4 linked regions of the Arabidopsis thaliana genome follow. The protein of the gene in region 1 interacts with the protein of each later gene in a pairwise test. Each region holds a gene or a part of one and is shown in the gene's direction. Other genes may lie near its edges.

The links.
Region 2: the proteins of SK7 (region 1) and AT3G03360 interact in a protein complementation assay, tested with the Arabidopsis thaliana proteins (one study listed by BioGRID).
Region 3: the proteins of SK7 (region 1) and AT3G17490 interact in a two-hybrid assay, tested with the Arabidopsis thaliana proteins (one study listed by BioGRID).
Region 4: the proteins of SK7 (region 1) and AT4G05460 interact in a two-hybrid assay, tested with the Arabidopsis thaliana proteins (one large-scale study listed by BioGRID).

What each region holds. Positions count from the first base shown.
Region 1 is NC_003074.8:7,693,672-7,698,972, reverse strand, and holds SK7 (SKP1-like 7), read left to right. Parts: upstream 1-3,036; 5' UTR 3,037-3,105; coding exon 3,106-3,483; 3' UTR 3,484-3,745; downstream 3,746-5,301. Other genes in the region: SK9 (SKP1-like 9), read left to right, coding at 1,423-1,884; SK8 (SKP1-like 8), read left to right, coding at 5,034-5,301. UniProt on the Arabidopsis thaliana protein: Involved in ubiquitination and subsequent proteasomal degradation of target proteins. Together with CUL1, RBX1 and a F-box protein, it forms a SCF E3 ubiquitin ligase complex. The functional specificity of this complex depends on the type of F-box protein.
Region 2 is NC_003074.8:791,759-798,336, forward strand, and holds AT3G03360 (F-box/RNI-like superfamily protein), read left to right. Parts: upstream 1-3,147; 5' UTR 3,148-3,280; intron 3,281-3,401; 5' UTR 3,402-3,528; intron 3,529-3,604; 5' UTR 3,605-3,746; coding exon 3,747-3,748; intron 3,749-3,873; coding exon 3,874-4,507; intron 4,508-4,621; coding exon 4,622-4,804; intron 4,805-4,869; coding exon 4,870-5,160; 3' UTR 5,161-5,255; downstream 5,256-6,578. Other genes in the region: AT3G03350 (NAD(P)-binding Rossmann-fold superfamily protein), read left to right, coding at 123-233, 735-798, 940-975, 1,170-1,359, 1,618-1,694, 1,778-1,870, 2,188-2,286, 2,489-2,590 and 1 more; AT3G03370 (uncharacterized protein), read right to left, coding at 5,665-5,836, 5,947-6,125.
Region 3 is NC_003074.8:5,982,088-5,987,894, forward strand, and holds AT3G17490 (F-box and associated interaction domains-containing protein), read left to right. Parts: upstream 1-2,739; coding exon 2,740-3,906; downstream 3,907-5,807. Other genes in the region: AT3G17480 (F-box/associated interaction domain protein), read left to right, coding at 1,109-2,233; AT3G17500 (F-box family protein), read left to right, coding at 4,598-5,717.
Region 4 is NC_003075.7:2,759,001-2,765,362, reverse strand, and holds AT4G05460 (RNI-like superfamily protein), read left to right. Parts: upstream 1-2,917; 5' UTR 2,918-2,962; coding exon 2,963-3,300; intron 3,301-3,686; coding exon 3,687-4,257; 3' UTR 4,258-4,728; coding exon of another isoform or gene 4,729-4,843; 3' UTR 4,844-4,861; downstream 4,862-6,362. Other genes in the region: AT4G05470 (RNI-like superfamily protein), read left to right, coding at 12-424, 1,600-2,107; MFDX1 (mitochondrial ferredoxin 1), read right to left, coding at 4,729-4,843, 4,942-5,024, 5,099-5,148, 5,278-5,384, 5,462-5,574, 5,990-6,057, 6,258-6,315. UniProt on the Arabidopsis thaliana protein: Component of SCF(ASK-cullin-F-box) E3 ubiquitin ligase complexes, which may mediate the ubiquitination and subsequent proteasomal degradation of target proteins.

The sequences.
Region 1 (5,301 bases):
TGGAACATTTTTGGTATATATTAAGAAATGACAAAGAGATATGGAAAATATAAAATCAAAGACCATATATTAATTGAAAGTATTAAAACATATGAAATTTCAAATAAAGGTTACAGATTATATAACCTTTCAATGTTTTCAAGTGCGTATGTAATGTACACAACATCATAGTGCATTGTTAATCTTCATTTTTTTCTTGAAAATTTGAGTTGGTGGTTAGTCCAATGGATAAAAACGGAATTACAAGCAAATCTAGGAGTAAATACAACAAACACGAGTTTCCTAATTAAAAAAAAATTGTGGTTTTACTCAAATGGCCACATAGAAAGGTAATATATCAAAGACTTTTGTAGAAGAACAGCATTGCTTAAAAAGAAAGGGAGAACAACATCAACATGAGTAGACATACAACTTTCGAAAAAAAAAAAAAAAAAGTAGACATACAACGATAATTAGCTTTTGCCGTATATATATATATATAAAGACATACAACTATACAACTAAACTCTCTTGTGACTTACTTGACACAATACAATGACAAAACTGTAGAGGAAATCAGTAACAAGAAGGAATAGTTAAGAAGAGCAAAACTAATTACACAGTTACACACGACATAAGTTATTGGCAAGTACTTGTGAATTCAATAATCCAATAATGACATATATATTTCATTCATTGTGTATTGTAAAAAACTTTTGTATTCATATGTAATTGTTTTGATTAAAATTGTGAGCTGAAGTTTCCTATTTGGAACTTTGTGTTTGTGGTATTAATTAAGATCTAAAAAAAGTTAGAATCAAAGAGGTAGATATTACCGTGTAATACTATCAATTGCGTAAGACGTGATATTTATGCATTCATTTATAAAACATCATCGTAGTGCATTTTTGATGAAAAAGTTTATTTGGAAAAATGGAGTCCAGTAGATAAAAAAAAAAAAAGAATTACATAGAAACTTAGGAGTAAACACTGTAAAACACGAATTTCCAAAAAAAAAAAAAGAAGTTGTAGTTATAATTTAAAAGACACATATAAAAAATAATTTAGTGGAAATTAAAACAACATAACATGAGTAGATAACTTAATGATTGTGTGACTTACTTGACACGATACATCATACATGTATCTATGAAAGTTAGGGCTTACATACTAACTTACAAGTAAACACATGAAAAAGTTGTGGTTTTAATCAAAAAGACACATAAAAAAAGACTTTAGTGGAAGAACAACATCAACATGAGTAGACATACAATACAACTTCAAGCTTTCGTGACTTACTTGACACGATACATGCATATATGAAAGTTATTAGGGCTTATAAATAGACAAACGCATAGGTTCATAACTTCATTACCTTATTACTCAATCATTTACTCAATTCTTCAATCTTCCAGAGAAAAAATCTCCCCCACTGAAAAAATAATGTCGACGAAGAAGATCATATTGAAGAGCTCCGATGGTCACTCATTCGAGGTCGAAGAAGAGGCCGCACGCCAATGCCAGATTATCATAGCTCATATGAGTGAAAATGATTGTACCGATAATGGAATCCCTCTTCCAAACGTGACAGGCAAGATTCTTGCGATGGTGATCGAGTACTGCAACAAGCACCACGTCGATGCCGCTAATCCTTGCTCCGACGATGATCTCAAGAAGTGGGACAAGGAGTTCATGGAAAAAGATACATCCACGATCTTTGATCTCATCAAGGCTGCGAATTACCTAAACATCAAAAGCCTTTTTGATCTAGCATGCCAAACCGTCGCGGAAATCATCAAAGGCAACACTCCTGAGCAGATTCGCGAATTCTTCAACATTGAGAATGATTTAACACCTGAGGAAGAAGCAGCGATTCGTAGGGAGAATAAATGGGCTTTTGAATGAGCGGATTATCAAAACCTAAACAGCTTTCTTTCTTTTCTTTTCTTTCTTATTTAGTGTGTGTTTCGTTATCAATCTAGGTGATGGTGACTTCATCTACGTACGATAATCCAATAATGGAAGCAGCTGCTTTCTTTCTTTTCTTTTCGTTTTCTTCTTTAGTGTGTGTTTTTAATATCTTGATCAATGTAGTTGATGATGAGTTCATCAAAGTTCAATAATCAAATAATGAAAGTAGACATATATTTCGTTTGTTGTGATGATACTTACAAAAATACTCTTCTTTACTCGATAAAATACTTTTGCATTCCTCTGTTTTTTTTAATTAAATTTCTGACAGGTTATGGCTTGTTAATCTTATAAAATGTGTTTAAAATTATACAAAATTCAGGCGAAATATTAAAAGCTAAATAGATTTAACTAAAAAAAGTTATATATATTGACATATTTCTTTTCTAAAAAATTGAGATCTATACAATATTTTTTAACGAAAAACAAAAACTGCAATATAATATATATATTTATAGATGCGTATAAGATATAGACATATTCAAATTTCAGACTTATTCGTAAAGCAACAATGAAGTAATGAACTTAATTTCGTATAACTACTGGATTTTGATTTTATTATAAAGTAAAATTTCATATAATTGAATAAATTCTTATATTTTTTATGCGAAAAAACAGTGGATGAGTTTTTTTTTTTTAATTAAAATTTAAAACTGTGTGCGGAAGTTACTTAATTGGAACATTTTTGGTATACATTAAGAAATGACAAAGAGATATGGAAAATATAAAATCAAAGACCATATATTGAAAGTATTAAAACACATGAAATTTCAAATAAAGGTTACAGATTATATAACCTTTCAATGTTAATGATTTTGTGACTTAATTGACACGATACATCATACATGTATCTATGAAAAAGTTAGGGCTTACATACTAACTTACAAGTAAACACATAAAAAAGTTGTTGTTTTAATCAAAAAGACACAAAAAAAAATATACTTTAGTGGAAGAACAACATCAACATGAGTAGACATACAACTTCATGCTTTCGTGACTTACATGACACGATACATGCATCTGTGAAAGTTAGGGCTTATAAATAGACAAGACTCATTTTCATTACCTTATTACTCAATCATTCTCTCAATTTTTCAATCTTTCATCAAAATTTCTTCCAGAGAAAAAAAAATCTCCCCCACAAAGAAAACAACAATGTCGACAAAAAAGATCATGTTGAAGAGCTCAGATGGTAAAATGTTTGAGATTGAAGAAGAGACCGCACGCCAATGCCAGACCATAGCTCATATGATTGAAGCCGAATGTACGGATAACGTAATCCCGGTTTCAAACGTGACAAGCGAGATTCTTGAGATGGTGATCGAGTACTGCAACAAGCACCACGTCGATGCCGCTAATCCTTGCTCCGATGAGGATCTCAAGAAGTGGGACAAGGAGTTCATGGAAAAAGATCAATACACGATCTTTCATCTCATGAATGCTGCGTATGACCTACACATCAAAAGCCTTCTTGCTCTAGCTTACCAAACAGTCGCGGATATGGTCAACGACAATAAATGGGCTTTTGAATGAGCGGATTATCAAAACCTAAGAAGCTTTTCTTGCTTTTCTTTTCTCTCTTTTAGTGTGTGTTATTCAGTTTCGTTATCAATGTAGATGATGGTGACTTCGTCTACGTTCGACAATCTAATAATGAAAGAAGCTTTCTTTCTGTTCTTTTTTCTTTTTCTTTCTTCGTTAGTGTGTGTTTTTCAATTTCTTGATCAATGTAGTTGATGATGACTTCATCAAAGTTCAATAATCAAATAATGAAAGTAGACATATATTTCGTTTATTGTGATACTAAAAAACATACTCTTCTTTGCTCGATGAAATACTTTTGTATTCCTATAATAAAAAGTAGTTGTGGTTTTAATCCAAACACATAAAAATATTAAATATATCAAAGAAACTATATTTCGTTTATTTGTATACTAAAAAACTTTTGTATGCATATATAGAATTGTTTTGGTTTAATTTTGGTAGGTTTTGGGTTGTTTAACCGTATAAAATGTATTAAAAATGATACTTACTGTTTAACAGAAAATGATACGCTTTTACATTTTTAGTATCAAGAAAAACAAATAGATATAGAAAAAGAGACAAAGACTATATTTTTTTTTTTTTGTTAAAGTGAAACAAAGACTATATTACCGTCCGTGTAATACGATGATGAAATGATTTCTTTTTTTACATGGGTTTGTTGCAAAACAATTATTAAAACATTTGAAATTTCAACTAAAGGCCGTATTCAAATGCGTTGTCCTGAGTTCTGACTTAAGCATCATTGATCGAGTCTCTTAGTATAGTCTGAAACTTGAAACTTGTTTTTCATTTTTCTTTGATTGTGTCTAAATTAAAGTTTGATATACATTTGGAGTTAGATATTACTGCGAGGGCCTCTATCAATTGCCGTGTAATACTATCAATTGCGTAAGACGACGTGATATTTATGCATGCAATTATAGAAAGTTTGAAGACGCGTTAATGTGTATAAAACAACATCGTATAGTGCATTCTTGATGAAAAAGTTTATTTGGGAAAATTGAGTCCAGTATATAATAATAAAAAACAAAGAATTAAAAGAAGAATTATATAGAAACTTAGGAGTAAACACTGTAAAACACGAATTTTCTAATTAAAAAAAAAGTTGTAGTTATAATCTAAAAGACACATAGAAAAATACTTTAGTGGAAATTAAAACAACATAACATGAGTAGATAACTTAATGATTTTGTGACTTACTTGACACGATACATCATACATGTATCTATGAAAGTTAGGGCTTACATACTAACTTACAAGTAAACACATAAAAATGTTGTGGTTTTAATCAAAAAGACACATAAAAAAAAGACTTAATGGAAGAACAACATCAACATGAGTAGACATACAACTTCATGCTTTCGTGACTTACTTGACACGATACATGCATCTATGAAAGTTAGGGCTTATAAATAGACAAGACTCATAGGTTCATAACTTCATTACCTTATTACTCAATCATTTTCTCAATTCTTCAATCTTTCATCAAAATTTCTTCCAGAGAAAAAAAACAAATCTCCCCCACAAAGAAAACAACAATGTCGACGAAAAAGATCATGTTGAAGAGCTCCGAGGGTAAAACGTTTGAGATTGAAGAAGAGACCGCACGCCAATGCCAGACCATAGCTCATATGATTGAAGCCGAATGTACAGATAACGTAATCCTGGTTTTAAAGATGACAAGCGAGATTCTTGAGATGGTGATCGAGTACTGCAACAAGCACCACGTCGATGCCGCTAATCCTTGCTCCGACGATGATCTCGAGAAGTGGGACAAGGAGTTCATGGAAAAAGATAAATCCACGA
Region 2 (6,578 bases), 6.9 Mb from region 1:
AACGAGTTCAAAAGATTTCGATTTTCACTCACTCAGTGATCCATTTAGACCAAACCCGAAGCCCAATTTTACTTAGTTAATTTGATAGTGGAGTTCTTGCATGTCTAAATTGGGCCTCACAGTCCCACCTTGATATCGGAAAAATTATCTGTTGAGCTGAAATTGAAATTGGATTTTCCGTTAGGTTTACCTGGTATTGAAATTAGAATTGAATTTTCGGTTAAGTTTACCTGGTATTGAAATTAGAATTGATTTTGGTTTCGGTTTACACTGGTTAAGAGAAGAAAACAAAAACAATTGCACGCGATGGGGATTTCAGAGAGGAGTGCGTAGATTAAAAAAGGCATGATTTCCAAAGGGGTACACCCACAGAAGTGCTCTCACGCGCTCAACGCTCACTTTGTGAGAGTGGGGGTGAAATACAGCCTTCTGATTGGTTGAAAAACTCTAAAAAAAGTGAAATAGTATACATGTTGCTAGCTCCATATTAGTTTTTCGTCTTCTTCTCTCAATCTGATGAAAGTTGTTGTTTTTAGGTACAATTCATTCTATTCAAAACAATTTTGACGTCTCTCAATCCCATTTTAGATACAATTGATTCTATTTCAGGTTTTGGGGTTATTTCTCAAATCGATTCCTGTCACCAAAATCAAAATCTGAAAGCAAATGGTTGATGAGGATCACTTGGAAGATTTTGTCTGTGTTTGACTATGGAGTTGCACATAAATGGTTAGGGATCAGAGGAATAAGTTGACTCAGGAAGTTTCTTCTGCTTTCAGCGGCAAGCTCAACATCCTTGTAAGTTCCCTTCTCATGCTAAAGACATTTGTTGTTTTCTATGCTTTTTTTATTGAATTTTCTACACATTGGAATCTTCACCAATCTTGAAATTCTACATATCACATTAGCTCGTATCCTTGCAAGTTTCTTATCCGATAGAACAATCTTCGAACCATTCTGCCACACTTTTATCAGGTTTCTATATATGTTTGGTCTTAGGATTGAATGGTTTAGACTTTTGGTGGTTTTGCCTCGAATGATCAGCTATCTGTCTATTCCATACATGTAATGTGAAGGCTTACGGTTTTTTGTTGAACCATATAGTGATGCTTGTTGATCTCATGTAAGTTTTCCATCTATTAGGCAAGATCTGTTATATGTTAACATAGTTAAGATTACCAGCACCGGAGGAAATCGCGTCACTGGTTGCTTTTCTTTGCCTTCCTGCAGCCTCCTACACTACAAGACAGGAAGAGCTAAAAGCATGCTTAAATGATTGCAAATCCAGTGGTTTAGTGGTGTCTGGTTCGGTTAGAGATCAGAGGGATAAGTTGATTCAGTGGCAAGCTCAACATTCTTGTAAGTTCCCTTCTTCTGCAAAATGCTTGTTAAAACTGACTCTCTAGTTTTTTCTCAGCATTGTGATCAGAATCGTCATTGATCTTGAAATAGTTTATTGCATTAGCTCTGCATCCTTATAAGTTCCTTCTCCATCAAAACATCCTCATACAAATCTATTTGCTGGCTACGCTTTTGTCAGGTTTCTTCATTAGGTTTGTCTTAGCCTTGAACGGTTGAGATTTGTGTTGGTTTTGCCTTAAATGCTCTGTACCTTAGTTTTATGTCGTTTCATCATCATATTTTTTTTCTTGCAGAAATCCAAGGCATCGGATGCAAGTGAGGAAACTATCAATGTACTAAATTAATTGCATAAAATCCGTAGGCCATACAATGGTTTGCTTGGTGACATATGATTATTCAATGACTTTGTGTGCAGACTACATTCGATATCAATGTCTTTGGGACGATAACTCTTATAAAGTTGGTCACTCCTCATATGCTAAAACAAGGAGGCGGTCATTTTGTTGTGGTACGTGGAGACTAACGAGGGATAGTTTTTGTTAAGTGCCCTAATTTTGTGGATTTGTTGAAGGATTGAGCTTCATATCATAGTTTATGGATATGGATATACATTGCGTTTTTTATATGTTAAATCTAAGGCTTTTAAGCTATGTATAGATAGTTTAAGGTTTCTTTTGTATTTTTGTCTTCTGCTTGCTAAATTCCAAATCATGTTACCGTATACACATCTTGAGAAGTCAAACTACGGTTAGCTATTCTTGTATGTGTTAATTTTCCATTTCCTTGGGTTAAATGTCATGATTAATAATTCACGTCAGTCTATAGATAAGCAGTGCTGCAGGAAAGGTACCATCACCTGGACAGGCTATATATTCTGCTTCAAAACATGCTCTGCACGGCTACTTCCACAGCTTGCGTTCTGAGGTATGTTAAAAGTTAAAGAAACTGTGGTGCTTGCTAATTATTTGGCAGCTAATGACTTATTGAAAGTCACAATAGAAAACTCACAGCTACCTCAGAGTTTTCTGATTTGATTTTTTCTTTTACATTCCTTTTCACTAATTGCTGAGAATAGCACCATAAAGTAACAATTCACAGTTGGTTCACAATCTGCCTATGGTTTCAGTTCTGTCAGGAGGGAATCAAAGTGACCGTCGTTATTCCTGGTCCAATAGAAACGTTGAATGGTACAGGAACATCAACTTCGGAAGACAAGAAGTCTCATGAGGTTGGTTAACTGATTGTGATTTGTTGATTAAGTTGTCAGTTTTTTGTACTTGTACCTTTCCTTTAAGCAACTAATCAGTCTTGTAGACACATAGAATCCTCTTCCTTTTCAACATTAGGATCTTCTATCTCCGGCTTCTTTCTCTTTTTATTTCCACTCAAAGATCTTTTCTTTTGCTACACAGAAGCGTGTGTCATCTGAATGATATGCAGAACTGACTATAATCGCCGCGTCTCATAGCTTGAAGGAAGCTTGGATTTCATATCAGGTACTTGTTTGTCAAAATCGCATATGTTTCACTCAGTTTAGATGCTGATATACGATCTTCTTTTTGCTATTTATCAGCCAGTACTGCTTGTGATGTATCTAGTGCAGTACATGCCTTCCCTTGGCTTTTGCTATTTAGTTTCTTTGCGCTCAAGAGGTTTTCAGATGCAGCTACGAGATAAATCGGACTACTGTATATAGTAATCCAACAGGCTTTTGAGCCCAGTGGACTTGAGTTCCTAGAAAAGAAAAACCGAAAAGAAAGTTATGTGATGCGTATATTGAAGACTAATGAAAAGCTTTTGGGGATTCACTTGCTGCCAGAAACTCACAGACAACACTCCTGCCAAAGCTGTCACAAGGCTGATCACTGTTCATTCTTTCCTTCTCTGCAGATATGTGCCGGCAGTAATTTAATTTTTGGTAACTGCTTTCTCCTTCTTCTCCTTTACTCATTTCCCCTATATTTCCTTCCTTTTATCATCATTATATACAAATTGGTAAATATCATTTTTAGATTGTGATCTTCGAAAATTTATTATAGATGTCAATAGATCTAAAAGTTTATACAAGAAGAAAAGGTGAACTCGGAAACCGAAAAGATGGAGAAGGAAAGTCAGGAAAACTCGACCAGACCCGATGCTTCGTCTACTGTTTTCTCTTCCTCTAAGGTAATATCTCTCTATAATCCAAATATCCAATCCTTTTTCTCTTATGTGGGTGATGCGATATTTATACAAATTGCAGAGTACATGCGCAAGCCCTAGCTATCTCAAAGAAGCTGGAGACTTGATCAGTAGGTTGCCTGATGATATTCTCCAACTAATTCTCTCCTATCTTCCAACCAGATTGGCGATCAAAACTTCCGTTTTATCCAGGCGATGGAGGCATGTATGGTCTGATACATGGTCCCTCTCCTTCCATAGGGACAGACCGGATGCTCCTTGTATTAACAGAATCCTAGATCGCTACAGGGCTCCCAAGATGATGAGTTTTCGTATCTGTTCTTGTTGCAGGGCAGCCTGTATCAGCAGACCCGACACGCATGCTGACATCGACAGTTGGATCAACTTCGCCATGTCCCGAAACGTGGAGAATCTGTCCCTGTATCTCGATGAGGATAAATATGATATCCCTGAATTCCTTTACATCAATTCCTCTCTCAAGCAACTCTACCTTGATTTCGGCTGCAAAAAGGATTTTATATCTCTGAATCCCAAATGTTCTGTGTCTTGGACATCCCTGAAGAACCTGTCATTGTATCATTGCAACATCTCTGATGAATCCATTGCTATTATTCTATCTGGTTGTCCCATTCTCGAAAGCTTATTGTTGTTTTTCTGCAAGAAACTGAAGGTCCTTGATCTCAGCAAATCACCGCGTCTGATAACATTAGAAATCACTCGTAGATGTCGAATGGAGCCAACACAGCTCGTTGCACCACATATCCGTTGTCTCAGATTGATAAACTCTGAGAAACCATGTGCTTTAGTTGATGTCTCCTCTTTATCCCAAGCTGAACTAGACATTACCGCTTACGCAATAGTTGATAATAAACTGGAGGCTGATTTTCATCAGACCATGGTGGTAAAGATGTTAGAAAAGTGTCAGAATGTGGAGAAGCTTACTTTGGGGGCAAACTTTCTTAAGGTATATGTTTTCACTCCTGATTTAGTTTACATAATTAGGCTCTGATTTTCAAGAAAACTAGTGTGTTTTTTGGTATACACTCATTTGTCTTCTGTTTTTTTTTGTTTGTTATAGATGTTATCTCTTGCCGAGCTCCGTGGTGTTTCTTTTCCAAAGTTGAAGGCTAAAGCTCTGATACTTGAGACAATGATCTCTCGATATGTTATTCATGGTATAGTAAAGGTGCTACAAAACTCGCCTGACTTGAAGAAGCTAACCATACACCCAATGGGGTCTGCCGGCTCATATCCCATACCGGTAATTATGAATATTCCTTGACCCCGAATTTTGAATCATCATATTGAAATATACTTGCATTACAGGAAGAGCATATTGACATATACTTGGATTCTCATGGCTTGAATTGGGATCCATCCTGGAGCTCGGAGTTTAAGAACACTTCCCGCAGGAATGTAGAGTCAAAGCAAGTGGCTTCGTTTCTGCAACTTGTGCTTAAAACCATATCAACATTAGAGTTGATTGTCGCAAGGTTGGAAGGTTATATCAAAGGAAGACGTTTTGTAGAGTTGCGTCAGATGGTTCCAATGCTTCCTCGCAACAACGATGTCTCCATTGTGCTCAGCTCAAGAAGAAAACGATTCAGAGTGACTTAAGTCATTTTACATTTAAGTAGTACACTAGATGAAAATCTCTTGTTTGTTTTTCTTACTGAAATAATCGAATTCTGTTAAATTGATTTTAAGTTGTGAAATTGTTTTTACGTTTTACCATTTCCAATCTACTGGCTAACCTCGGAAAAACGGTCTAGTGAGCGAGCATTGCCTTGAGAAACAGTACCCGCCAAATCCAGCTCTCATGTACACAGTTTGATATTATTTCTTTCCAGTACTTTTGATTCAGCAACAGAGAGTTCTTTTCGGGCTATGTAAGAATCAATTTGCATTGTCTGCAGCCTATCCGGTGGGGAGCTGAGCCAAGGAGCAAGATTTGCTCCATATCCATTTTCTTCAATTCTAGTTATGCATGCCTTGAGATCCACGTACCTAAGATAAACAAAGAATCAGTCAGAGGTGACAAACCTAGGACAAAAGAAGTTGCGGAATCGAACAAATTTTGGCCTAAGGAACAGAAGCAAGGCATATCAAATATCACAAGTCTCAAGGTCTTGGATCTCTCTGAGAACAATCTTGATGGATCTCTCCCTTCATCTCCTGGGATACAGGCATGAAAGAATCTCTCGTAAGTTCATCTTCGCTTTTGCGTTTCATATACAGCTTCACTATCGTAATACATAACTTAGCAGTGAACTGGAAGAATTCAAAGCAAGGTCTTGCCAACAATAACGTCTGCCTCTACACTCTGATAGACCTCTCCATAACAAGCTATTCGGAGAAATCCCATATTCTTTAGGCAATCTCAAAAGCTTAAAGCTTTTAAACCTCTCATACAACGACATCTCTGGATTGATCCCACAAAGTTTTGGAAATCTTGAGAAGGTAGACCTTTCACACAATAACCTCTCAGGCGAAATCCCGCAGAAACTATCCAAGCTCAGTGAGCTGAATGTATGGAGTTGAGCAACAACAAACTTATAGGTAGAATCCATGAGAGTCCTCAGCTAGACAGATTGAACGATCCGAACATTTACGCAAACAACAACAAAATATGTGGAATGCAAATCCAAGAACCATGCTCGACACAGACCAAGCAGCCAGAGAAGCAATGTTTTCATGGAAAGCTGCAGTCATAGGTTGTCCTTGTGGAATTCTAATGGCAGTTGTCTAAATGTATATGGTTGGCTATTTCAGAGACTCATCACCACCACCAAGGCGATCTCTCAAGAACAGATGACTGAAGAAATCAAAATCTCTGTTTTTTTTAAAACGAAATGGAAGATTATTCAGATGCTGTAACATTGAAAAATAAAACAGTCTGTTAGCAATCCCTATGAAGTGATGTTATCAAGAGAGTTAAACAAAGTAAATTGTCAAATCACTTTCCAAAAAGTTGTATTTTGATCCTCTGTTTTTTACTCGATGAAAACAGAATCGTTTAATGTAAACATTGGCAG
Region 3 (5,807 bases), 1.7 Mb from region 1:
TTTATCATAACAAACTGCTTGTTAATTCTATAGACTACTCCCATCTTATTGATTAAGGAAAAATTAATCCTTTTCAAATTAGAGATACTAAACATTTTTTAATTTTTAATTTTATTTAATAAGATCATAGTTTCTTTCTAATGATGTTGTTCTACACATTTTAAAATATATATATATATATATGTATAGTTTTCTTATATATATTATTTATCATATACTGTATATGTATGGTTTTTTATATATCTATATGTGTTTTAAAATTTCTATTTTTATTTAATAAGATACATATAGTTTCCTTATTATTTTAACTTTAACATTTTTGAAATCGTTTTTAATAAGATATTTGTATAGTTTCCTTATATTTTTTTAAAAAAATAATAATAAATAAATAAATTTTTGTTTAACACGTGTCAAAATCTAAGATTGATTAGTTTGACATGTGGCATAATATAACCATATTAATTTAGTATTTCCTCAAACCAAATTTCAATCTTACAAATTCAATTTTGCAATACAACTTAAATATTTATTTTAGTATAATATAAATACAATTTAATTTGATTGTATAAAATTCATAATACAATTTGATTTTGCAATACAAATACATTTTAATTCTATACACTCCATCTTATTGTTAGTTTTTCTTTTTAGTTAAGAAAATTATAATTTAATTTATTTAGATATAGATATGATCTAAGTTTATATGTAAATATATTTCTTTTTTAAGTTGTTTTTTTTAAGAAAAAAATTAAAAAAAAATTATTTTGACACATATCAACATCTGAACGATAGACTTGACACGTCTCATGATTATGTGAGATACTAATTTTGAAAACTATATTTTATATAATAAAGATAGGTGTTAATTGTTAACATATAATTTATGATTGACACAATTAAATTTTTAAATCCTATCAAAATCCAACCAAATCTAAAATCATTAAAAATAAAAATAAATTAAAATCCATGATTCAATAAGCCCAAATTATAAACTCAACTTATTTTTGTCTACATAAGACGAGCACGTACGTCAAACCTAAAATATTAGAACCCCAATTTTTAGTCTGCAGCCCTTGTACGTAGCTTCTTTATTCCTTGTGAGATCGCAATGATGACATTACAATCTTCTCCCATGTCCGTTCTTACCGAAGATTTGGTAGAGGATATACTCTCTAGGGTTCCAGCGACATCTCTAGTTCGATTACGATCTACTTGCAAACAGTGGAACGCAATATTAAATGATCGTAGATTCATCAAGAAGCACTTTGATACAGCAGAAAAGGAGTATTTGGATATGTTGTTAAGGAGTCTTAGGGTTTCTTCGATGAGTGTCAATCTCCATGGACTTCATGACAACATTGATCCTTCTATAGAGCTAAAGCGTGAACTTAACCTAAAAGGTCTCCTTTGTAATTCAGGTAAAGTCGAGAGTTTTGAAGTCTTTCACTGTAACGGGTTATTGCTATTCACCAACACTAGCACTATCGTGGTTTGGAACCCTTGTACGGGTCAAACCAAGTGGATCCAAACTGAAAGTGCTAACACTAGATACCATAAGTATGCTCTCGGATACGAAAACAAAAATTTGTGCCGTGATTACAAAATCCTAAGGTTCTTGGATGATGGAACTAATTTTGAGTTGGAAATCTACGAGTTTAATTCGAGTTCATGGAGGGTTCTTGATAGTGTCGAAATAGACTTCGAACTAGACATAGGTAGCCAAGGCATGTCAGTAAAGGGGAATACTTATTGGATCGTTATAGATGATCATGAAGTAGATGGAGAATTAGTCAATTGTTTCTTAACAAGTTTTGATTTTACAAGAGAAAGATTTGGGCCACATGTGTGCCTTCCGTTTCAAACTAGTTGGTATAGCGATGTGATCTCACTATCTTCTGTAAGAGAAGAGCGGCTTTCAGTCTTGTTTCATGAAGAAGATTCTTTAACGATGGAGATATGGGTGACAAATGATATCACTGACACCATTGTCACGTCTTGGAGCAAATTTTTAAGAGTTGACTTATACACTCATCGGTTTTATAATGGTGTAACTTTTTTCATTGACGAGGAGAATAAAGCCGCCGTGTTTAGTGAGGATGTACCCGATGATAGTGATGACATACACAGCATTGTATACATTATTGGACAAGATAGATTGAGAATTGTGGATCTTGAAGATGGACCATTTTGGCCACAAATGTTCTGTTATGTTCCAAGTTTAGTTCAAATCTAGCAATATCTCAGTATTCGTTCGTTTAAAATAATTCAATTGCTTGAACCTCCTCTATAAATTTCTTCTTTTTTTGTTATCATCGTCATGTCCTTCGACTAATTAATGAATTGATCCTTTTTCTCTTGTATCATTTTCCTTTTTTCGTTACTTTATGGTTCTTTTCTTCTTTTGCATTACTTTCAATTTTTCCATTTTCCTGATAATTATGAACTTTGCTAAAGAGAGAAGAGCACCCAAAAAAAAAAACTAAGAAAGAAAGAGCACAAATAAGGAAATTCAAAACGTTTTTAGGCTTTAAGTTAAAGCCTTTAACAATCCTCACAAAAATACAAAAGTATACGATATGTAAATCTGCTATTTTAGTAAACAGAATCCATCTAGGAAAAAGGAAAAAACAAATATTTGAGGGAGGTCATCTTATATTTGTCTATATATATAAGACTGCAAAACGTACGTTGAAACCCTAATTTCTATGTCATTCTACGTTGAAATTCACAAGAGAAACTATGATGATGCCTCATCTTTCAGAGGATTTGGTAGAGGAGATACTCTCTAGGGTTCCGGCTATATCTCTAAAACGATTACGATATACTTGCAAACAATGGAATGCTTTGTTTAATGATCAAAGATTCAGTAAGAAGCACCGTGATAAAGCACCGAAGACATATCTGGGTCTCACATTGAAGGATTTTAGGATTTATTCAATGAGCTCAAATCTGCATGGACTTCTTCACAACAACAACATTGATCTACTTATGGAGTTCAAAGGTAAACTTAGCAGTCTAAACGATTTAAACGATTTCGAAATATCACAAATCTATCCCTGCGACGGTTTAATATTATGCTCCACGAAGCGTAACACTAGACTCGTGGTTTGGAACCCCTGTACCGGTCAAACCAGGTGGATCAAACGCAGGAATCGTAGGATGTGTGATACCTTTGCTTTTGGATATGACAACAGCAAGTCTTCTTGCCTTAATAACTACAAAATCCTGAGGGTTTGCGAAAAAATAAAAGGACAGCAGTTTGAGTATGAAATCTTTGAGTTTAGCTCTAATTCATGGAGGGTTCTCGATGTTAATCCCAACTGCATCATAGAAGGTAGGAGTGTGTCTGTCAAAGGAAATAGTTATTGGTTTGCTACAATTACAAAAACACACTACTTCATACGACGTTTTGATTTTTCATCAGAAACGTTTCAGAAACTTCCTCTTCCGTTTCACATATTTGACTACAATGATTCTAGGGCTCTATCAGCCTTTAGAGAAGAACAACTCTCAGTGTTACATCAGAGTTTTGATACAGAAAAGATGGATATATGGGTGACCAATAAAATTGATGAGACCACAGATTGGTCATGGAGCAAGTTCTTCACAGTGAGATTAATCAATAGGTTAGACTATCCTATTAGCATGATGATGAAGTCTCCCCTAAGTTTCTTCATCGATGAGAAAAAGAATATCATTTTGTGTTATGATAAACACAGAGAAAATACCTACAAGTCATTGGTATTAATTGTTGGGAAGGATAAAGTCTACAGAGAATTCTACTTTCCAGAATCATACGAATTAGGTAGGACATATCTATGCAACTATGTTCCAAGTTTAGTTCAAATCAAGCAAAGTGGACTGATATCTACAAGGAAAAGAAAGCGAAAAGATTTCTCAAGTTAAAATCAAGATTGAAGGTTGTAATTTGTTGCATCTCCTCCGTTTTTTTTTTTTAATATGTATTGGTTTCCTTAGTCAATGTCCTTTCATTACTTAATTAATGAATTGATCATTTTTTGTTTTCGTTACTTTCTCGTTCCTTTATTCTTTGCATTATTTTCAAATTCAACTAATGAACCAACATATATATAGCTGGCAAGTTTGATAAACTCTAGACTGTTTGGTATAACGACTCGTGGTTTGGTACCCTTCAGACGCATTATATCAGACAACGGCGGTAATTCAACAATTATTAAAAACCAAAAAAAAAAGTCATGATATGATATCATTTTTTTTTTCCTTCTCAAATTATTATCAATTCTTAACGAGATACAAACTAGGAACAAACTCTTTTTCTTTTTCTACAAATCAATACATTTATCAAGATTTCAAGTTAGTGGAAATGTTAACACGCTAAAAAATAAAAATTAAATTGGAAAGGAAAAAAAGAAGAAGAAGTAAAATTAGCAAATAGAGTCCACGTAGGATGTTAAAAAAAAAAAGGAAAAGAGACCACGTAGGAAGAAAAGGTTAAAAAGCGTAATTAATCGTTACTTGTTTGTCTATTAAGAAAGTCAAAACCCTAGTTTCTTAGGGTATAAAGGTCGGTATACAGGGCCGAAGTCGCTTTCTTCTTCTTCCTCGGGACAAGATGATGTCAAATCTTCCACTGGATTTAGTAGAGGAAATACTCTCAAGGGTTCCAGCAACATCTTTGAAACGATTACGATCTACTTGCAAATCATGGAACAATTGCTACAAAGACCAAAGATTCACGGAGAAGCACTCTGTTATAGCAGCAAAGCAGTTTCTAGTTCTAATGTTGAAGGATTGTAGGGTTTCCTCAGTGAGCGTCAATCTCAATGAAATTCACAATAACATCGCTGCTCCATCTATAGAGTTGAAGGGTGTAGTTGGGCCACAGATGCAAATATCTGGAATCTTTCACTGCGATGGTTTATTGTTATGCACCACCAAAGACGATAGACTTGAGGTTTGGAACCCTTGTACTGGCCAAACCAGGCGGGTCCAACACAGTATACATTACAAGACTAACTCTGAGTTTGTTCTTGGGTACGTCAACAACAACTCTCGCCATAGCTACAAAATCTTGAGGTACTGGAATTTTTACATGTCTAACTACCGAGTTAGTGAGTTCGAAATCTATGACTTTAGCTCTGATTCATGGAGGTTTATTGATGAAGTTAATCCCTACTGCCTCACAGAAGGAGAGGTGTCTTTGAAAGGAAATACTTACTGGCTAGCTTCCGATGAAAAACGAGATATAGATCTCATACTAAGGTTTGATTTCTCAATAGAAAGATATCAACGCTTGAATCTTCCGATTCTGAAATCTGACTATGAAACTGAAGCTCTATCAGTTGTTAGAGAAAAGCAACTTTCAGTATTACTTAAGAGGAATGATACTCTAGAGAGGGAGATTTGGGTGACGACCAATGACAAGATTGATCACACGACCAAAAACTTGTTGTGGATCAAGTTCTTAGCAATTGATCAACGTACTTGTTATCATTGGTCTTGTGTGAGTTTCTTCATCGACGAGGAGAAGAAAATGGCCGTGTTTTGTGATGGTTATATAGGAGGCATCAATGAGACTAGCAGACGCATGTTCTACATTATTGGAGAGGATAAATATTACAGAGAATTATATGTCGGAGATTCTCCAATAAGATCACACAGGCCATTTGTTTTCAACTACGTTCCAAGTTTGGTTCAAATCCCGCAAGCTACAGTTATACCTAAACGCAGAAGACGTAAAAGAAAAAATCGAAATTAGTCAATGCATCTTGCTCTCTCTTTTTTTTTTTCTTTGGCAATGTCATTTTTAATTAACTAAAGAACTG
Region 4 (6,362 bases), on another chromosome or scaffold:
TATCCTCAAAAATGACAGCCTCCTCGAAAATGACATCCTCCACTACGTTGCTGTCGTTGTTCATGAAAGAAGATGAAGAAGGAAGAAACAAGAAAACGACAACCTCCACTACGTTGGAGTCGTTGCTGATGAAAGAGCGAAGAAACTGGGTGGATCTTCCGCCGGAGCTGACGACTTCGATCCTGCTGCGTCTTAGCCTGACTGATATACTGGACAACGCTCAGAAGGTGTGTAAAGAGTGGCGACGCATTTGTAAAGACCCTTCGATGTGGCGGAAAATCAACACGCGAGACTGCCTCATGTACAACTTTGATTTCGTGAGCATGTGCCGTCACATTGTTGATCTCAGCCAGGGTGGCTTGCTAGAGATCAACGTTGATGAACACTTCTTGAGCGATTCTCTCCTCAGCTACATTACCGATAGGTTCTCTCTCTCCCTTCGCAAGCACGCTAGCAACCTTTGAACGGTTTTTCATGGAAATCTCCAAATGCTATTTAGAGAATTATGTGGCTTTTATTTGATTTCACTGTCTGTGAATTAGACACAAATGGTCCTAGTACATATATTTTGACAGAAAAGAAATCTCTAAAATGTGTTTGTTCATTTTTCTCCTGAGGATTAGCTAGGGCAAAAATTTGATAACTTATAATCGTTGATTTCGTTCGGTTTATTATGTGTTAATTAAACTCAGTTTATCATGTTTTTTTCCTTTTACCGGATCTGGCGGTCTGCTATGAATGGACTTTGGATATTCTTTTACTACGTTTGGGTTAGATATAAACAGATATATATGAAGGATAATTTTCATGCTTTTATAGTGTTTTTAGATAGTAGTTGTTTTAGATTTTCATGCCTTAATAGTGTTTTAGATATGAGGCTAATTTCTATGCTATGACGCTGCTATATATAAATTTATAATAGTCCTTTGTTCTTACACTATTCTAGTCTTGTTTTGTTTCACACCGTTATTACTCTATCATCATCATCATATATATATTTTACTTGTCATGGTTATAGAAAACAAGTAATTAGGTTATTAGCATATATAAGAATATCATTACCTTATAAAACTCTTATGATAGATCCTATCTTAAAGCATCATTACACTTTGATCTTTTAAGCCAAGGAATTTGGATATATATGTATACATTTACTTTTACTCGAGAATGTATGCATAGATATGATTAGATATGCATACTATTTTAAAGCATCAGTTTTATTTTGAAGTCACCGTTGATATGATGATGTTATAATATAGTCCTTATTCGATCGGGTCTTGTTTTGTTTCACATAGTTACTGTTATATCATACATAATTACTTGTCCTTTGTCATGGTAATAATGAAAAAAGTAGTTAGGTTATTATAATTATAAAAAGATTAGAAGATTATCAACTTATAGAATTCTTATCATAGACTTGCTTAAAGCATCTTTAGAGTTTGATCTTTTAGGTCCCAATTGAAACAAATGGTTTGTTAATTACATGCTTCTAAGTTGATTAGTACTATGAGAATTTCTAATATTATTATTATTGTTTTTTTTAAGAACATATTGCTCTTCTTCTTCTTATAGTTTATGATTTAACTCATATATTTGCAGATCAAGGAATCTGAGAAGTCTTGGACTTGGAATGTGCTTTCCAAGGGTGACGAAACTAGGAGTTGTGAACGCAATTGCAAAAATTCCATTGCTTGAAACCCTCGAGGTCACTCACTCATGTATAAAACTGGATTTAAAAGCTATAGGCCACGCTTGCCCACAGCTAAAGACATTGAAGCTAAACTCCTTAGGCCGCCTATGGCCAGCCAGTGACAAGTATGACAGCAACGTGTTAGACGATATGGGGCCTCTCGAATGTGATGATGATGCTTTAGCAATTGCTGAAAGCATGCCCAAACTACACCACCTCCAGCTTATGGCTAACAGACTAACCAACACAGGCTTGAATGCCATTCTCGACGGTTGTCCTCACCTGGAACACCTTGATGTACGCAAGTGTTTCAGGATTAGCCTTGTCGGGAATCTTGAGAAGCGATGTTTGGAGATGATCAAAGAGTTGAGACGCCCCGGTGACTCAACCGCAGATTACCCATATAATGGTGTGTGAGTTGTGCTTCAGCTGATGAAGACATGTGGATACTCTGAGAAAAACAGGGTTGGGTTTAATCGTCTTATCAACTTTTGAACTCGTTCCATGTGATCATGTCTCCTCTTTTCTCTATGATGCCAATGACTATTATTGGTATTAGATATTGAATCTTCCTGAACTAGTCCTGCACATTCATTTATCCATTCGGTTACGGTTATATCCATTCGGTTATCGGTTTTTCGGTTCTAAAATTTAGTATCTATTCGGTTATTTTGAAAGTTTGGTTCGGTTTTGGTTCTTTCGGTTTTAAAATTTAATATCCATTTTGTTATTTTGCTTTGAATATTTTCGGATATTTCGGTTATTTTTGAATATTTTTAGATATTTTTGGATATTTTCGGTTATTTTTCAAATACGTTTACCATTTTGTATATATTTTCAACTATTTTTAGTTATTTAGTATAGAAATAACTAATATTTTTAAAAATATATTTATATTCCGGATATTTTCGGTTACCCAACATATTTCGGTTACCCAAAATATTTCGGTTATTATCCATTCGGTTTCGGTTCTTTCGGTTATAGAATTTAGTTTCCCTTCGGTTATTTTTCAATTTTCGGTTCGATTTGGTTTGGTTTCGGTTTGGTACATTCGGTTCGGTTTATTAGCCGAGGCCTATCCTAAACAATGGAGAGAACATTTGTTTTTTGTTGCTCTTGCCAACTTTTGCTGTGGGTACAATATAATTATAGGCCAAGGCCCAATATTAAACTAGGCTTGGCCCAAACTGGTTTCGTAGATATGTGATACCATAAGGATCTAATTGTAAAATTAGAGACTGATGATAATTCTTGACAATTCGATACTTAGAAATGGCTTCTTCGTCTTCACCCCCGGCGGCGATGGAGGTCGGAGAATCTACAAACTGGACGGAGCTTCCACCGGAACTGACTTCAGCAATCCTGCACCGTCTTGGCGCGATTGAGATACTTGAAAACGCTCAGAAAGTTTGCAGATCTTGGCGTCGTGTTTGTAAAGACCCATCGATGTGGCGTAAAATTGACATGCATAACCTCGGAGATTTGGACGACATGGATTACAACCTCGAGATCATGTGCCGTCACGCTGTTGATCGTAGCCAGGGAGGCTTGGTTGATATCGGTATTTGGTACTTTGGTACTGTTGATCTCCTCAATTACATCGCCCATAGGTTCTCTCTTTTCCCACTCAAAATTTCGCCAATTTTTATTTCCGTCAAAAGGAGTTTTTGATTCCTTGTTTAGAGAACTTGGATTGATTTGATTTCAATATGTTTGTTCTAGGGTTAGAACAGTTTTTGGTTGTGGAAGTTACTATTTCTTGTGAGAATTGGGGAAATTATTTGTAGCTTATGATTGTGTTGTGTTACATTGTATCTAAATTCTATGTTGGAGTAGTAAGTAGTCACTTGATTATAAGATTGTTATGCTTCTGAGGTATGAATAGTTAGGTTCAGGTTTTTATGGGATGCTAGAAAAAAGATGTTTTGGATCTTTGTCATTCTTCTTCTCTATCTTAGATGTTGTTTTTAACTTTGTTACACACAATTATTTGCAGGTCGAGTAATCTGAGAAGCCTTAGACTTATAAGGTGTTCTCAAATTACAGACGATGGATTTGTCGAAGCAGTTGTGAAACTTCCACTTGAAGAACTCGAGTTGTCATACTGCTCATTTTCAGTAGAGTCTCTCAGAGTTGTAGGCCAGTGTTGTTTAAATATGAAGACTTTGAAGCTGAACAAGCATCCTCAAAAGGAGAATGACGATGATGCTCTAGCAATCGCTGAAACAATGCCGAAACTTCGCCATCTCCAGCTTTGTGGGAACGGGTTGTCAGACACCGGTTTAAACGCTATTCTTGACAATTGCTCAAACCTGGAACATCTTGATTTACGCCGGTGTTTCAATGTTAACCTTGTTGGGGATTTGCAGAAGCGGTGTTTTGAGAGTGTCAAAGTTGTGAGACACCCTAATGACTCGATTCATGATATCGACATTGGTTCATCAGAAGACGAAGACCCTTATGACTTCTCTGATATCGATCTGATGTCAGGTGATGATGATTTTGAGGGTTACTATGACTTCTCAGGTGCTAGTGACTTTTCTGACTATGACCAGTTTGATTTCTAGATGCATCGGTTTCGTGCAGGTGAATTTTTTTCGAACTTGTTCATGACTTGTTTTAAGTTAGCTCATAGTTTCAATGGATTTTATGTGTCCTTGAAGTATGTTACCGTTTGTAATGATGTCTTTTGCTGTTTGTCTTTCAACAATTTCTAAGCTCAGAAAAGTTTCAAAGATGGTGATTGTTTCATCTTGCTTTTGACGAAAGAAATTGAGTTTATTCTCCAAAAAATTTGCTTAACGCTTGTTGTTCTGTTAGAAACTCAGACAACAACGAGAAATGCCAATATCAAAACTAAGATAAGTAATAAAAAAAATCATCAAGTCCTCCAATAGAAACATAATCATCTCTTTGATCATTTCATGCCTCAGGTCTAAGAACTGTTTCCTCTCGGTAAGCAATCATCAAAACTCCAATAGAAACATGAATCAGCTCTTTGATCATTAATGCCTCAAGTCGAAGAATCTCTGCGGAAACTAATGAGGTTTTGGAACAAACCCGTCAACCGCGAAATTCCTTGTTGCTGAAGGAATAGCCAAGCGCACACCATCTAGCTCTGGTCTTGCAATGACTTGGCATCCGAGTCGTGACCTGAAACATTTGTCCGGGAACATATGATACTTTCTCATTAAAGTAAACAATTAGACTTCTTGTTTTGTGTTTGCTTTAAGAGTAAGAGAGGACTTTACGTTTCTGTGAGCCCAAAAGCAAGATCAAGCATATCATTCTCTTCATCTGTTGGTTCTTCAAGTTTGTTATAGTATTCAGTATCCTGTAAATACAATCTTAGCTAGTTTCCGGAAAAGCAGAGGATTCGATCTATTAATAATGGAAGAATATGTTTACCATCACAATCACATGACACGTTGAACACGCTAGAGAAGCCTCACAAGCCCCTGGAGATCAAGTAAAAGCAATCCATGAATTTTCAATTCGAAAAAGGATCAATATAATTAATAGAACCCATCTAAAGCTATGAGAGTAAGCAATTGAAAACGAGAAGAAAATGGAAGAGAAGTGTGCACCTTCAAGGTCTATATCATTTTCATGAGCAGCTTCGAGCACTGACATTCCAATTGGTACTTTAACAGGAATTTCCTCTCCGTCCTTATCAACAAAGATTATGGTTATCCTGAAAACAACAGAATTATGATAAACTATCAGCAAATATTGCTTCAGCGCTGGATGAATATTTCGGTAGTAACTTACTTCTCAGTTTCTTCATCACCATTCTCAGAGGAAGTTGTTGAAGAAGTACAAAACTTATGGCTCTTCAAAAACCAGGCTTCCTGAGAAGTCCTAGCTTGCCTTGGTACCACTGGCTATCGAAAAGATGAAACGAGAAAGATTCAACCATCAATGTGGAAACAAAACAGAATCTATGAGTGACAAAACCAAGATTTTCTGTTCATTCATCCATTATAGACCACCCAATTTCTCACCTTAAGCCTTTTCTTAGGCCTTTGAGCCAAAACCAAATATAGGACTCTTTCCAACTGGACACATTAGAATCGTCACTAACAGATCCATCTAACACCAAACAAGCGCAGAAAAGCTACATTTCGTTCTTCTGCGATCACTTTATGACATTACTAACGAGATTCTACCTAGCCAGATAATAGAGTGAACTCTAACAAAGAATCCTATTCTAAGTATTAATGAGAGTTTATACATGAAGAAGTAACAAAATTATCGATTGTAAGAGAGTATAAAACTCGAGAACAAGCTCAGACTAACCAAAGACTGCAAGTAGTGGCCATAAGACCGGTGTAGATTCTTTGTCCCGTATGTTGCTAAATATCCCTCTGCCAAAACAAGAAATAGAAAGAGCAGCAAAATATTAAGGCAGCATTGTGTAGGCAGACAATGTTTTAGCAAAACCCATGAATGAGGGACTAAAATACGCATACGCAGTTCGAAATCGAAGTGAGATTAGAAACTCCATCAAAACCAATATAGCAAACGCATCAAAGAGCATCGATTTAAAGCAGATACCAGATAGTACCTCTTGCGAGCTGTTTAACAATAGTAGACCCCAATCTTGAGATCCTATGACCGATCATCGTTCACTGCCGCTAAAGCACCTAGCTGAAACCTCGAAAGAATTGAA